Cricetulus griseus: one gene and its partners. The protein of the gene in region 3 interacts with the protein of the main gene of each other region in a biochemical or structural test. Links are inferred from orthologs where the notes say so. Each region holds a gene or a part of one and is shown on either strand. Other genes may lie near its edges.

Evidence for each region.
Region 1: the proteins of Ube2d1 (region 3) and E3 ubiquitin-protein ligase ZNRF1 form a complex in vitro, tested with the Homo sapiens proteins (2 studies listed by BioGRID). The link is inferred for Cricetulus griseus from reciprocal best matches to the Homo sapiens genes UBE2D1 and ZNRF1.
Region 2: the proteins of Ube2d1 (region 3) and Rchy1 form a complex in vitro, tested with the Homo sapiens proteins (2 studies listed by BioGRID). The link is inferred for Cricetulus griseus from reciprocal best matches to the Homo sapiens genes UBE2D1 and RCHY1.

What each region holds. Positions count from the first base shown.
Region 1 is NC_048596.1:187,949,749-187,954,449, forward strand, and holds the start of E3 ubiquitin-protein ligase ZNRF1, read left to right. Parts: upstream 1-1,625; 5' UTR 1,626-1,807; coding exon of another isoform or gene 1,808-1,869; coding exon 1,870-2,293; intron 2,294-4,701. Other genes in the region: serine/arginine repetitive matrix protein 1-like, read right to left, coding at 1,039-1,625, 1,808-1,871. UniProt on the Homo sapiens protein: E3 ubiquitin-protein ligase that plays a role in different processes including cell differentiation, receptor recycling or regulation of inflammation. Mediates the ubiquitination of AKT1 and GLUL, thereby playing a role in neuron cells differentiation.
Region 2 is NW_023276807.1:156,684,918-156,689,440, forward strand, and holds the start of Rchy1 (RING finger and CHY zinc finger domain-containing protein 1), read right to left. Parts: upstream 3,077-4,523; 5' UTR 2,724-3,076; coding exon 2,640-2,723; intron 1-2,639. Other genes in the region: Thap6 (THAP domain-containing protein 6), read left to right, coding at 3,645-3,724. UniProt on the Homo sapiens protein: E3 ubiquitin-protein ligase that mediates ubiquitination of target proteins, including p53/TP53, TP73, HDAC1 and CDKN1B. Mediates ubiquitination and degradation of p53/TP53; preferentially acts on tetrameric p53/TP53.
Region 3 is NW_023276806.1:266,581,644-266,585,605, reverse strand, and holds part of Ube2d1 (ubiquitin-conjugating enzyme E2 D1), read right to left. Parts: intron 2,070-3,962; coding exon 1,992-2,069; intron 816-1,991; coding exon 710-815; intron 1-709.

The DNA of each region.
Region 1 (4,701 bases), on a different chromosome or scaffold from region 3:
TTGGAAGCTGTCCTGGAACTTGCTCTGTAGATCAGGCTGGCCTTGAATTCATAGAGATCCCCCTGCCTCTGCCTCCTGAGTGCTGGGATTAAAAAGGCATGCTCCACAGCCCCAATATTTCTTGTACTAGTTTCTCTTATTAAACTCTCAACGTCTTTGTTCAGGGCTTTTTGTTCACCCCAAATACTCTATGCCTGAAAATAGCCATCTTCTTGTGGCCTTCCAGGCTAGCCACACTGGAAAAGAAGGTCTATTAGCCTATCTCTCTCCAAGTCCACCTTCCTCCACACTCCATTTTTGGAAGCACCTGGCATACTCTGACAAAGTGACAGAGGAAGTAAGTCTAGGGACTAGGTGATGCTCACATCCAGCCCTCAGCACTTGAAAAATTATTTGTTCAATGAATAAGCGATCATGAATATATGAGAAAGACTGGGACTGAACTGGAAAGGTGATTCTCTGTTGCAAAGTGAAATTTGGTCAACAAATATTTATTGAGTACTCACGGTGTCCTTGCCTTGTGGCTCTATGTCAAAATACATGGTAAACACAACAGGAATCGGCCTTGGACAAGGAGTTTCTAAAACCACTTTTTAGCTGCATTGTTCTATTTCCATGCTTTTTATCCACCTATTGATTTTTCGGGATTACATTCTAGCCTAAAGAATCGACTTGTTTCCTTAGACCCAAATAGTTGGTTTCGATCTGTCAGCAAAACCTGGATTCCTATGTGCCTCCTAATAGCTAACCCCAAATGTTAAGACTCCTGATGTTTGGGTCCAAGCTAACTCCCCCCAAAATGTTAAACTTCCTGACGTTGGTTGGGGTCCTTGGATGGGAACCAGCAAACCACAGCACCATCCACCAGAGGGTGCTGTGAGGGCAGGTTTGTGGCGGGAGGGGAGCTCGCCCAATGACCCTCAAACCCAGGTAGACGGATTAGTTGGTTTTCTTTCTTTCTAGTTTCCTTCCCACCCACTAGAACCGTCGCCGCCCCTCCCCCACGCAAGGACTCTTCTTGAATATAGTGATTCGACTCTAGCCGTGCTTGTTCCGGAAGAAGTCTGGCCTCTGTCGCAGACACCCGGCGGCTGGAGCTCGCTGGTCCCCGGACCGCCAGGGGCGCAGGCGGCGGGTGGGTGGGGACCTCCAGGGCCGCAGCGCTCCGCCGCGCCGCAGGGGCGGCGAAAGGGTTAACCCGGCGGGGGGGGGGGGGCGCGGGCCGCGCGTGCGCTCTGCCGCCCTCCATTGTCTCCACGGCGGCGAGGAGCGCCGGCGAGCGCAGCCCGGGACTGAACGGGGCGGTGCGGCTGGCTGGCGGGGCCGGCGGCGGCTGGAGCCGGAGCGCGACGCCACGCGACCGCGGCTTCCAGAGCTCCGCCTGGCTTCCCCACCGCCGCGAGCCCTCCCGAGGCCTGGAGAAGTCCGGGCCGTCGGCCCCGGTCGTCGAGTCCTGAGACCGGGGACGCGCGCGGCGCCCCGAGCCTCCGCCGCTTCCTGCTGCGGGCGGGCGGGCGGGCGGCCTCCTCCGGCGCCTCCCTCCCTTCGCTGCGGCTCCTCAGGCTCTCGAGCCCGGGGGCGGCCTGTGGCGCGCGGCGCCCGCTCCGGACCGCGCGTCTTCGGACCTTAAGGAGAACATGCATTCGGCTTGGACTGTTTGAAATTCTTAGTTTGGGGTCCCCGCTCGCTTGTTTTTTCCGCCTCGCGGATTTTCTGAGGGTTTTTTTCTCTCTCTCTTTTTCATTTTCTCCCCTCGGGGCTCTTTTTTAACCTCCCCCCCTTTATGTTTGCCCAGCCCTCCACCGGCTTCTGAGTAGTGGGGGAGGGTTTCGGCCTCCAGGTTCCCGCCCCACCGGGGCCCGGGCTAGCATGGGGGGCAAGCAGAGCACGGCGGCCCGCTCTCGGGGCCCCTTCCCGGGGGTCTCTACCGATGACAGCGCCGTGCCCCCGCCGGGAGGAGCGCCCCACTTTGGGCACTACCGGACAGGCGGCGGGGCTATGGGGCTGCGCAGCCGCTCGGTCAGCTCGGTGGCGGGCATGGGCATGGACCCCAGCACGGCCGGAGGGGTGCCCTTTGGCCTCTACACCACCGCCTCCCGCGGGACCGGCGACTCAGAGAGGGCGCCGGGCGGCGGAGAGTCCACGTCGGACTCCACCTATGCTCACGGCAATGGTTACCAGGAGACAGGCGGCGGTCACCATAGAGACGGGATGCTGTACCTGGGCTCCCGAGCCTCGCTGGCGGATGCTCTACCTCTGCACATCGCACCCAGGTGGTTCAGCTCGCACAGTGGTGAGTCCGCGGGCGTCTGAGGCCTTGAAGGGTGGAGTGCAAGGGAGGACGCGCCGGGGCGCCCCAAACCTCTTAGTGTGCTAAGCTATGGGTATGAAGCTAACTCCTGCCTTTCCCTTGTGATTCCTTCTGTGCCAGAGGATGAATAGGATCAAGTGGGATAACTACTGGCTAGGGAAAAAGCTGTCTACCAGGCTGCGGAGCCGGGCGTTTTAGGACTGCAGACATGTGTTCACTTGTGGATGGCAGAGTGAAACCTGCCCATTGAAGTCCGTTTATTAGCATCATGATCCTCAGAAAAGAGGTCTTCTTGTCTGGCTTACAGTTTGGACTCTTCATTTCTGCCTCTGTAGCATGGTGCCTACCTGTCTGGTTAGGGAGCTAGTGTCTCCTAAACAAAGAGTGAGAAATAAAACTAGGGGGCAGGTGGTTCTTGGACTAGGGTTCCTACCCTTGCTAGGAAAGGGAGGAGGCTGGTTTTTCCACCCAGCTGGGTATAAATTGATTAAAATGGAGCAGGAGGCTGCCTTAGACAGGTGTGGTCTGCTGTATGGAAAGCCTCCCTCCTTGGATTTGCAGGACCAGGAGTCTGGTCTCTCATGCTGCATTCAGTAGACTTGGCTCATTGACTCTCACATCCCTCCATCTTTTTTCTCCTACTCCATGCTAAGTGCTTGCTTTCCCGGTGAATCTGCATCTTTTTTTTTTTTTTTTTCTAAAACAGAGCACCGGCAAGGTGGGGTATTATTGCCCAGCAGTTGGCACATGACTGGGGAAGAGGAAGGTTGAAAAAATCTGGATGAATTCATTCTGTGCACTTCTGGTGACAGGCCAGGAAAAGGCTGGAGGGGGATTTCCCAGGCTCGGCTGGTAGGGCAAAAAAGGCCTGGCAGGCTCTTCTAGAGGAAAACAGGTCTGTCTGCTTGGCTGTCCTGAGAAGGCAGGACAGGCTTCTGGAAAATTGGTCAAAAGGGGTGTGGGACTACTCTTTGTTAATTAGCAGTTGAAGTGAAGAAGTTACATATTCAAATTCCTTTGGGTGAGTTGGGAAATTTTAGTCACTGTGTAGGAGAAAGCTTTCTCATATCCTTAGGGTACATTATGGAAGGTTTACCTGTGGGATTACTTTTGTAGCTATTTCAAAACCGAGTAGGATTTTTGGGTCTCTTTTTTTTTCTTTCTTTCGATCAATTCCATAGGATAGTGAATAGTTTAGAGCCGCTCTGACTTTAATTAAACTGTTGGAAATCAGATACAAGGCATGTCTGCCTGCGGTACCCTTTAGGCATTTGTTCTGCGTTAGGCATCTTGGAATTAATAATCCTTCTAGATAGTTGAATCCAGAAGGAGTCAACTGTGTTTGTGAGACTTCTGTGATTACGTTTGTAAATAAACTGTCATTAAAACTGAAAACAGTGTAAATCCGTTCTCTAAAATCACAGAATTTTTAGTGTAGCCAACAGCTCATTTTATAAAGGCTTGTATGGAGGAGTGAGAAAAGGAGTTACCTTTTGGGTAAGATTCCTGAAGTCTGTCTCTTACTAGAAACTTCTCTTATCCTTGTTCCACTGCCAGATCCCCTGATAAAATTATGAACTTATAACTGAATTCTGAAATCTCACACTTCAGCCATGAAGCCTTAGAGTCTCCCCCACCCCCCCCATTCAGGCCTGAGATTAGGAACACCACTGAACAATGGGAAGACAAGAAAAGTTGGAGATATTAATCCTTTCAGTGTGTGTGTCCGGCCCTTATTAACATTATAGGTAACACATTTATTTACTTATTTTTAGTATTTGTTTTTATTTATTTTAGTATATAGGATCATCCTGTCCTTTTACAAGACTTTGAGCCTATTGAATGCCCAGGGCATCCTGCAGTTCACCTCAAACTGCCACCATGAATTCCCAGATGCCTTTTGCTGGGGTGGCTGTACCGGGCAGATTGAGGGATTCGTTCTTTTGTACAAATAGAGTAATTAGTTCTTCCTGTGCTGTTCACTTGAGGTGAGTTCTCATTTGCATCAGTGGTTCTGTCTCCTGGAACAGGCCATGGAATTTTCTGGGGCATCCTTTTCTCTCTTGTTCACGGCTGCAAGAAGAGAAGCCGTTTCCACTTTGGAGCCTTTGAGTCAGGTCTGAGCAGCTTTTGCTCTTGTGTGGTAAGATTCCACCGGTAGGACTTTCAGTGCTTGATTGACCAGATGTCTGGAAATTGATATAGTTTTATTACTTGTGTTTTCAAGATGCTTTGGGGACTCCTCTCAGCACAGAAAGCTGTCATTAGTGAAATAAGTCAAAGCTTCAGGCTTATGCTATGTCTGGAAGTAGAATGCCAAGGGGTTCCAGCCTTAGGTCCTCTTCTGAGTAGCTTTGACCTTGGACAAGACACAGCACCTTTCTCTAGGC
Region 2 (4,523 bases), on a different chromosome or scaffold from region 3:
TCTTGAGAATAAATATGCTTTATCTTCTAGATAAAATTAGACAAAAACTAGAATCACTTGGGAAGAGTGAACCTCAACTGAAGATTTGCCTCCCTCATACTAGCCAGTTCGAACATCTGTGGGGCATTTTCTGGATTCATGACTGATGTATGAAGGCCCAGACCATTTTTAACAGTGGCATCCCTGGGGAGGTGATCCTGTATTATATAAGAAAGGAGGCTGAGCTAGCCATGAAGTGCAAGCCAGTAGTATGCAGCATTCCACAGCTTCAGTTCCTACTTCCAGGTTCCTGTCCTGCCTGAGAACCTGTCTTGGCTTCCCTAATGAATTGTTACAAGTGTAAGCAATAAACCCTGTGCTCCCCAAGTAGTTTCTGGTTGTGGTGGTTATTACAGCAATAAAGGAACACACTACTGCCTTGTCTCCTTTTACAAAGACTCTACAGTTAGACCAGACTTGAGCTAAGGCTGGCTTCACTTTGACTACTCAAGAACAGTAGTCCTAGAGTGTTCCCTTTTCCTGTTGCATTCAAAAAGGCCTCTTTGATCATTTTCCCAGTGTGCAGAAACATACTGTAACACATCTTTCAGCAAAACAGACACAGTTTTGCTCTCCTTTGCAATAAAAATCCAAAAATTCTGTTATTTCTAATATCCATTCCAATAAGCTTTGCCCTGGATCCTTTCATTGACACTTCTCTTGTCAAGATGAACAGTGACCTTCCCCTGCCAAGTCAAAGGTCAAATGTCACTCCTTATCTTACTTGAACAGTTGCACTTGATCAAGTAGATGACTTGTTCCTTCAAACACCTGAGTTGGCCTCTCATATTTAAGGAAGAGGGAGAGGGGAAAGAAGAGCAATGCTTGACACTCAGGGAAAAGCAGCTAAAGTGTTATAAAACACAAATTTGGCTATGCAATTTCTTTGCAGGGGCCAGGGAAGAACAAGATGTTCAGTTCCATATCTCACTCTGAAGCTGTGAAGGTATTTCAGTAGAAAATGTAATCAGAAGAATAGTACTCAACTGCTTACACATTTGATAACTGACAAGTCTGAAAGAATTTCATCCAATGCAATGAAACAACATCTGCCAAACTGTGGCCTACAAAAAGGGTTTGAGTTGTCTTACAGACCAAAGCCTATCATTTAATACTAGCTTTCGAGGTCAGTGACCATCAGGGCTGACTGGTAAAGTGAAATGAAAAAAAGAAAAAAGAAAAAAAAAAGATGATGATGATGACTGATAGTGGTAATTAATATTTACTACCCATTTCTGGGGATGCACCTCATAAATAGTACATGTGCACTCTAGAATGCAGTCATCATATTGCTAATAAAAGAGGGGCTTTCCCCTTTGGCGGTGGAGAAAGTACCTACAGACTCTCAGGTGAGGTCAGTACTCTAGCAATGACTGACAGATCCCCATTTCTTTTCCTTCTTGGCAATGGCACCTCCAGGCTGGCATTCCTTCTGCCTCAGCTTCACAAATAGCTGGAAGTACATGTTTGATAGAACTACAGTCCTTTACCACTAAGACCAGTCATGAAAAAAAACTTCTGCCGGGCGTTGGAGGCGCACGCCTTTAATCCCAGCACTCGGGAGGCAGAGGCAGGCATATCTCTGTGAGTTCGAGGCCAGCCTGGTCTACAGAGCGAGCGCCAGGATAGGCTCCAAAGCTACACAGAGAAACCCTGTCTCGAAAAACCAAAAAAAAAAAAAAAAAAAAAAAAAAGGAAGGAAGGAAGAAAAGAAAAAGAAAAACGGAACTTCTAAAATTACCATTTTATATGCAAGCCATTTAAAAAGCAGCTTGCTCAAAATTGCAGAGCAAATTGCGAGCAGAACTAAGATACAGGGAAAAAGTTACAGGATTCCAACAGTCACGTTTCTTTTCTGTGGGAGGAGACTTCAGATGGCTGGCGCCAGGGCCTCCAGCGTTTTAAGCATAAGTTCTACAGCTTAGTTACACCCCCAGCTCAAGTATCAGGCTTTCTCAACAAAATAATCACATTACTTCCAAAAAAAAAAAAAAATCAAGAAACTCTTAATTGTGTGGGGCCCACCTTTATTAAAACTCTAGAGGACTAGAACGTTTCTCAAGCAGCAAAAATAACATTTACGTACTAGGCACGTCTCCAAAATCCAATCTAATGGCAATTACACTGTCTCTCACACCACACTTCTCTATATTCTCCGTGACAACAAAATGAAGCTGACCGGCTACACCAGCTACTTACTACACGAGCAAAAATCACATTCTGATTTTCCCTTGGCTTATCCTCCTTTCGTTACCATCATACACATCCGACAGTGGTCCTGGACAGGCCTGACACTTGCCTCTTTCTACTGTCAACCGCAAATGACGAATAAACCCACTGGGTAAGGGACGCTGTGCAAGGCCCCGCTCTTTACAAACAACAAGAACTTTGCAAGGTACAAAAGCTGAGAGCTAAGGTAGAGCTCATGCTCGCCTTGCCAAATACGTTCCCTGCAAGGGGCAACCCAATTCCAGGTGCAGAAGGTATCTTAACAAGCAGCTCCGTCTGAAACTTGTGCCCAAGACTAACCGCCTAGGCCTAACCTGCCCCGGCCTAACCCCGGCGGCATCTTCTCAGGAAGTGCCCTTTCAAGTCGTCACCTTGAGGAGACAGCCTCGGTCATAGTGCTCGCAGCCCCGCCGCCCTCGCTCCGGGCTGCGGACGCCATCTTCCGTCGCCGCCATCTCCTCCACCTCCCCTCACAATCCACAGAACCTTCCCCCAGCTTGGAAGCCACGCCTCAGAGACGCACAGCCGGTCTGACACCCCGCCTCCTCGCCGCGGCTGCCACCAGTCAATATGGCAGCTGCTCACGTGACCCGGGGCAGCCAGATTTCCGGTTCCTGATGGAAGGGGAGGAAGCGAAGTGAGACGCTAACTCCGTCGTCGACGTTAGTCGGTGTCTTCGCTGCTGACGGTAATAACTCTGAGGTTGGCTCTTCTTCCCCCTCGCATCGCGGCCAGCCCCGATCTCAGGGCGAAGGGGACCGCTGCGACGCCGGGTGGGTCCTGCTGCAGGCCGCCCTCGGCCACCCGGCGCCGGCGAGGCCAGGCCCCACCCTCGTCCCGGCTCGCGGGGCGGAGCTCGGTGGCGGCGCGCGCAGCACCTCGAGCTGGCGGCTGTCCTCGTTCCTTTGCTATCTCCCGATGCTGGTCACCAGCTGAGACCTGAGGAGAAAAAGTGGAAAAGTAGGCACGCCGTAACATGCCCTAGTGGAACTCACAGATGGGTAGTGAGAAAAAAAAAAAAACACAGCATTCAATGAGATCACAATTTGGAGGGACACTTTAAGGATAATTGTGTGTGGAGTGTCCCTGGGGAAAGGGGGACGCTCCAGCTGGAAGTTATTAGGGTGCCCAGACCTGTGGCAGAGAAAAATCTGATCCCTGGTAAGGACACAAGAGAAATAACCAAGCCTAAAAAGTTGAAATCTCAGACCTCAAGGTGCGTAACTAAATATCCACTCTTAAAAAGTTACCGAGACCTTAGAAAATTTTAGCAGCAGAACTTCAGAGGTTGGGGTCTGGGGAATTGCCTTTGGCTAGCCCTAAAGTTACTAACCCATTTTAATTCTCTTACAGTTTTGTTATGAGTTGATAAAATCATGGTGAAATGTTGCTCGGCCATTGGATGTGCATCTCGCTGTCTGCCAAACTCCAAGTTAAAAGGACTGACATTTCATGTGTAAGATTTTGCTGTGCTCAGGCCAAATACATTGAACTTTTACAGAAATGAACGAGTCTACCTAAGTCTGCAGTTTCAAGCATTAGTTCCCAGGTCCTTTTAAAATAGCTATGTGCAAGTTTTAAGTGCCAAGGAATCAAAGATGAGATTAACAACATCACCAAAAATAAAATACCCACACACACAAGTTGTCAGACTCACCTTTGCTAATGTTACTTGCATTGTAACTATTAAGCTCACCATTGTTTACTTGTATTTATAGTGTAAATGAGGTAAAATTAAAATACACATTAAAATACACATCCCTTCTATTTAGAAACAGGTGGGGCTTAAGTGTTCACTATAAATTACAAGTTCAGACCAAAGTTATTTAGCTGCATTGCAGATAAAGCTCAAGGATTCTGCTTTAGTGTTTTGGCCATTCCTCTGACACCCATAGGAAGGGACCATAGGATTTAATAAATGTGCTAAGGATTTCACAGCTTTTGTGTGAAGAACACTTGTCTTTCTTAGGAAATGATCTAGTTACTGTGCTAGACATGGAAATAAAAAGTTAGTATGTATACACTACCTTATCCAAAAAAAAAAAAATGAACTTGCTTGGAAATTTTAGAAATATTATTATTGACCCCATATCTTCAGAATTCTAGACTCTGCAAGCTTTCATAGATCATCAATAGACCTGCTGTATGTTAGCTGCTATCCCAAGTAATTTATGGATAATGGCAAAAGTGAAAGTACAAGAGGCCTCATTCATTCAGGATAAATTCTGGATGTCACCTCAGAAAGGGAAAGGCCA
Region 3 (3,962 bases):
GTTCCCCAACTATCTCCCCAGTCCGGCTGCCAGGAACCATCTGCCCCCATTTCACTATCACAAATGGCCCATGAAGAGGAGGAAGGGGATAGAGGTGTCCACCCCAGGGCTCGGTATGCACCAGGTGCCCAGCGGCCGAGTTTGGTAATTCTGTCACGATCCTGGAATGTGATGAGACCGGAGCAGTTTATGCTCCTAGGCTAGCAATACGAATTATTTTTTAGTCAAAAGCCACAGCACCACTGATAGTCATTGAGTACGTGGCAGCCAGCCATTTCTTTAAGTGAGAAGGACTTAGCAGCTTGTGGCAAATGAGAGCCATTTTGGGACACCATTCCAAGAAGAACTATAGTAATCTGAATAATTATAGACAGAATCTTTCCTTTATTCACTTTATGGTAAATTCACTGCTGAAAAAAAATTTTTTTTTTTTATTTCTGAGTCAGAGTTTCTCTGTGTAATAGTTCTGGATGTCCTTGAACTCCCTTTTTGTTTAGATTTGGCCATTCACTCATTTCTCCCAATCCCAGAGTTTACTAAAAGCCAGAATGACCGAAGAGTTACTAGAGAAAACAAAACAAAAATAGTAAGCACTGAGGGTTGAGGCATCTGTTTTGTTTGTCTGGACTTCGGTTTTTGTTTAAACTCTGGTCCCTAGACATTGTACAGTCCTCTCCATGCCTATTTTAAATCTGATAAATGAAATTACCTTTCGATACAGTCAAAGCTGGTGACCACTGGGACCGCAGGATGTCAAGACAAATACTTCCATTACTGTTTATATTTGGGTGGTAGATTTTTGTCGTGAAAGCAATCTACACATAAAACAGAACAACAACAACAAAAAGGTTGATCGTCACAAGCGATGAACAAGCAGAACCAATCCACTCAAGGGAGAAATGTGCTCAACTTTACACAGCTTTGGAACAGAAACATCTACATGCAGGTCCGCTATTGGGAATTTGAAGGAGACTCAGTTTAACCTCCTTTTCTCCTCCAGGTGCTGGGACGTATCTTGGGTGTAATGAGGATGTCTGCAATCACTGGGGTGACTGGCACTTGGACCAGCTGCTCTGGCTTTCATTACACCTCCAAATACTCTTCTTAACCAGCCTGTGAGTAACACCCAGCAGGCCACCTGGATCTATAAACAGGTCACCGAGTCCGTCAGAGCAGAAGTGAGATGATCACCCGTCCTGTAAAACCCACTGAGCATCTGAATTCCGACAAGAGTCACTGTTGTGTGATGTCATCCATAGGATTTTAAACTCAGTGTTTTAAAAATGCTACAATTATTTCCATAGCAGCAAATATATGTTTGTTTTCCCTCCTTCACACCCCCCCCCCATCACTTGTTTCTTCTTTGGCCTTTAAACCTTGGAGAATGTCTTTTCATTCCCTGCTGCCATTCAGTGTGCTTCATTTGTGGTTCCCATCATGCAGGGACGTAGTGGATGGTCAATGTATGTTCACTGAACACTTCAAGAGAGAAAACAGGGTCCTCTTTGGAAGGATAACACTGTGGACAGGAAAGTCTGTCCACAGACTATAGATTCTCAGACTATAAAAACATTCCAGACTACACATATCTCATAAGGAGGAAAAGCCCATGAGCCTAACTTGTAGCCACTGCAACCTTTTGTTTAACAGGCAAAGGAAACTACTTGACTAAGAAAGAGTATTTTAGCCAGGCAGTGGTGGTGCATTCCTTTAATCCCAGCACTCAGGAGGCAGAGGCAGGAGGAGCTCTGTGAGTTCAAGGCCAGCCTGGCCTACAGATCGAACTCCAGAATAGGCTCCAAATTCCAAAGCTACACAGAGGAGCTCTGTCTCGGAAAACAAACAAACAAACAAACAAAAAACAAGAGTATTTTAGATCTGGAAGTTGTACAAAGGACCTTGTACTAGCTAACCTGTGATATCATGAGCCTGTCTCTAGACAAACAGTGAGAACCCCTGCTATGGGATGCATCAGCCACAGAAATAAATACCTTTGGTGGTTTAAAGGGATAGTCTGTCGGGAAGTGGACAGTGAGGAAGAAGACTCCGCCTTGATACGCACTGTCAGGCTGCAATGAACAACAGGCGCATCAGTGTCCGGCCACAACATGTACACAAGACTGAATGTTCCCCCCCAGGTGTTGACAGTGTGAAAGAGAGGGTCACATCTTCTATACGATGCTGTCTGATGCTTGTAAAAAATGTAATCCTTGCACCAGATGTTTGAGTAATTTACCTGAGAGCAGGCTCCTTTCCAGGAATGAAGTTTTCCGAGGTGCCCACAGAGTTTAAAGAGAAGCAGACATGCATATAACAGTATGGTTTTAACCAAACAGGTCATTTACGGGGACCAGTGTAGACACAAGGACTGCTGTGAGGAAAGGTAACTTTCTAGAGCAGTCACCAGTATTTTTTAAAGGTTATGACTAATATTTACCTTGTTTCTTTTAGATTTCCAATGTCCACTTAAATATGGCCAAAGGGAATAATTTAGTAAGAAGGTTACACACAATTTATTCTCAATATTCAATTGCTAGTACTTTATATTGTACAATGTAAAACTCTAAAACCAAGTTGGATGAATTCAGGATTCATGGTAGATTGGATTAAGTATTATCAACTTTACCAAAGGAATTCAAGTTTGGTCACCTCCTGAGTGGCCACACACACACACACACACACACACACACACACACACACACACGATTAAAGGAAAGAAAATAGTAGCAAAATAAAATACCCCAAATTCCATTTTAATTCCTTCATATTTACTGGGCTGCACCATGGGTAATAAAAGCAACTCTTGTCATTCTTTCCCTGCTTAAAGTTCTGCATAAAAATCAGAGCACTGTATTAAATAATTATTCTTACTGTGTTGCTTAATTCTAGTTTGGTAAATGTTTTAAAAAGTAAACAAACAACAAAGATAAGCATGGTAGTAAATGTAAAAAAAATAGAAACAAATTATAAAGATAAGCGTGGGCAACGCGGACAGCAAGTGCTATTATAGAGGGTGGTGGAATGTGTTTGTGGTCCAGAAATAAGAGAGGTGTGCAAAACAACGTCACAATTGCTTACTACACATGATTCACCTGAGAATTACCATGGAGGCCCCAGCTCCAACGGTGAGGCATGCCTTTAGATGACAGGACTTGGAAGGTTCAGAGCAGATAAGCAGATAATGAACACCAAGCAGAAGGAACTAGCTTCTTAGGGAAAGCTGTTAAGTAAATATATTGCATTTTCCCCTCTCACATAACAACTTAATAGAATAATTTAGTCATTTAGGATAATTCCTCAGAGACTTTTCTTTGAAATTCAGCATTTTTTTTTTTTTTTTCAGCTTGGATCCGAGGGCAAATGATTGAAAACTGCATGACTCAGTAGATAAACGGCCCCAGGGGAAGTATGTATGGCATTCAGGAAGGCTAGCGTGTTCTCATCCAGAAAGGAGACTGGAGTAGATAGAGTATCTGCCTACTCGTTCACAATTAGCATTTCGTCCATAGAAAGAAAAGCCTGTTTCAAACCATCGATGCTCCTCAGGTGTAGGAAGAAATACAGACAACAAAGAGGGGCCAGTTTAAGGCAGCTCAGAAAACTCAAAAGGTGACAAAGACCACCCACAACGGGACTCCTTCACTTCTGCAGTCAAGAGTCACAACGAGACCCATTGCAAGCTGATGTTGGCCCAGTGTAGCAACTCCATTCCCCGGTCAGACTTACTTCAAACCTATGAAAGCTGTGGATTTGTGAGGAAGACTCCACTTCCTTTAAAAACAGTTGATGCTGTATTAAAAAAAAATTAATAAGACCAACACATCTGTTTGCACAGAGAGTGTGACATTGCTCTGTAATGGGGATGTATCAGCACAGGAAAATATCGCTGTGACCCAGCAGGTATTTGCCAGCCGTGCTTTAGAAAAACCACTGCAAACCCTGCATCATGTTTTGCTTCTTGA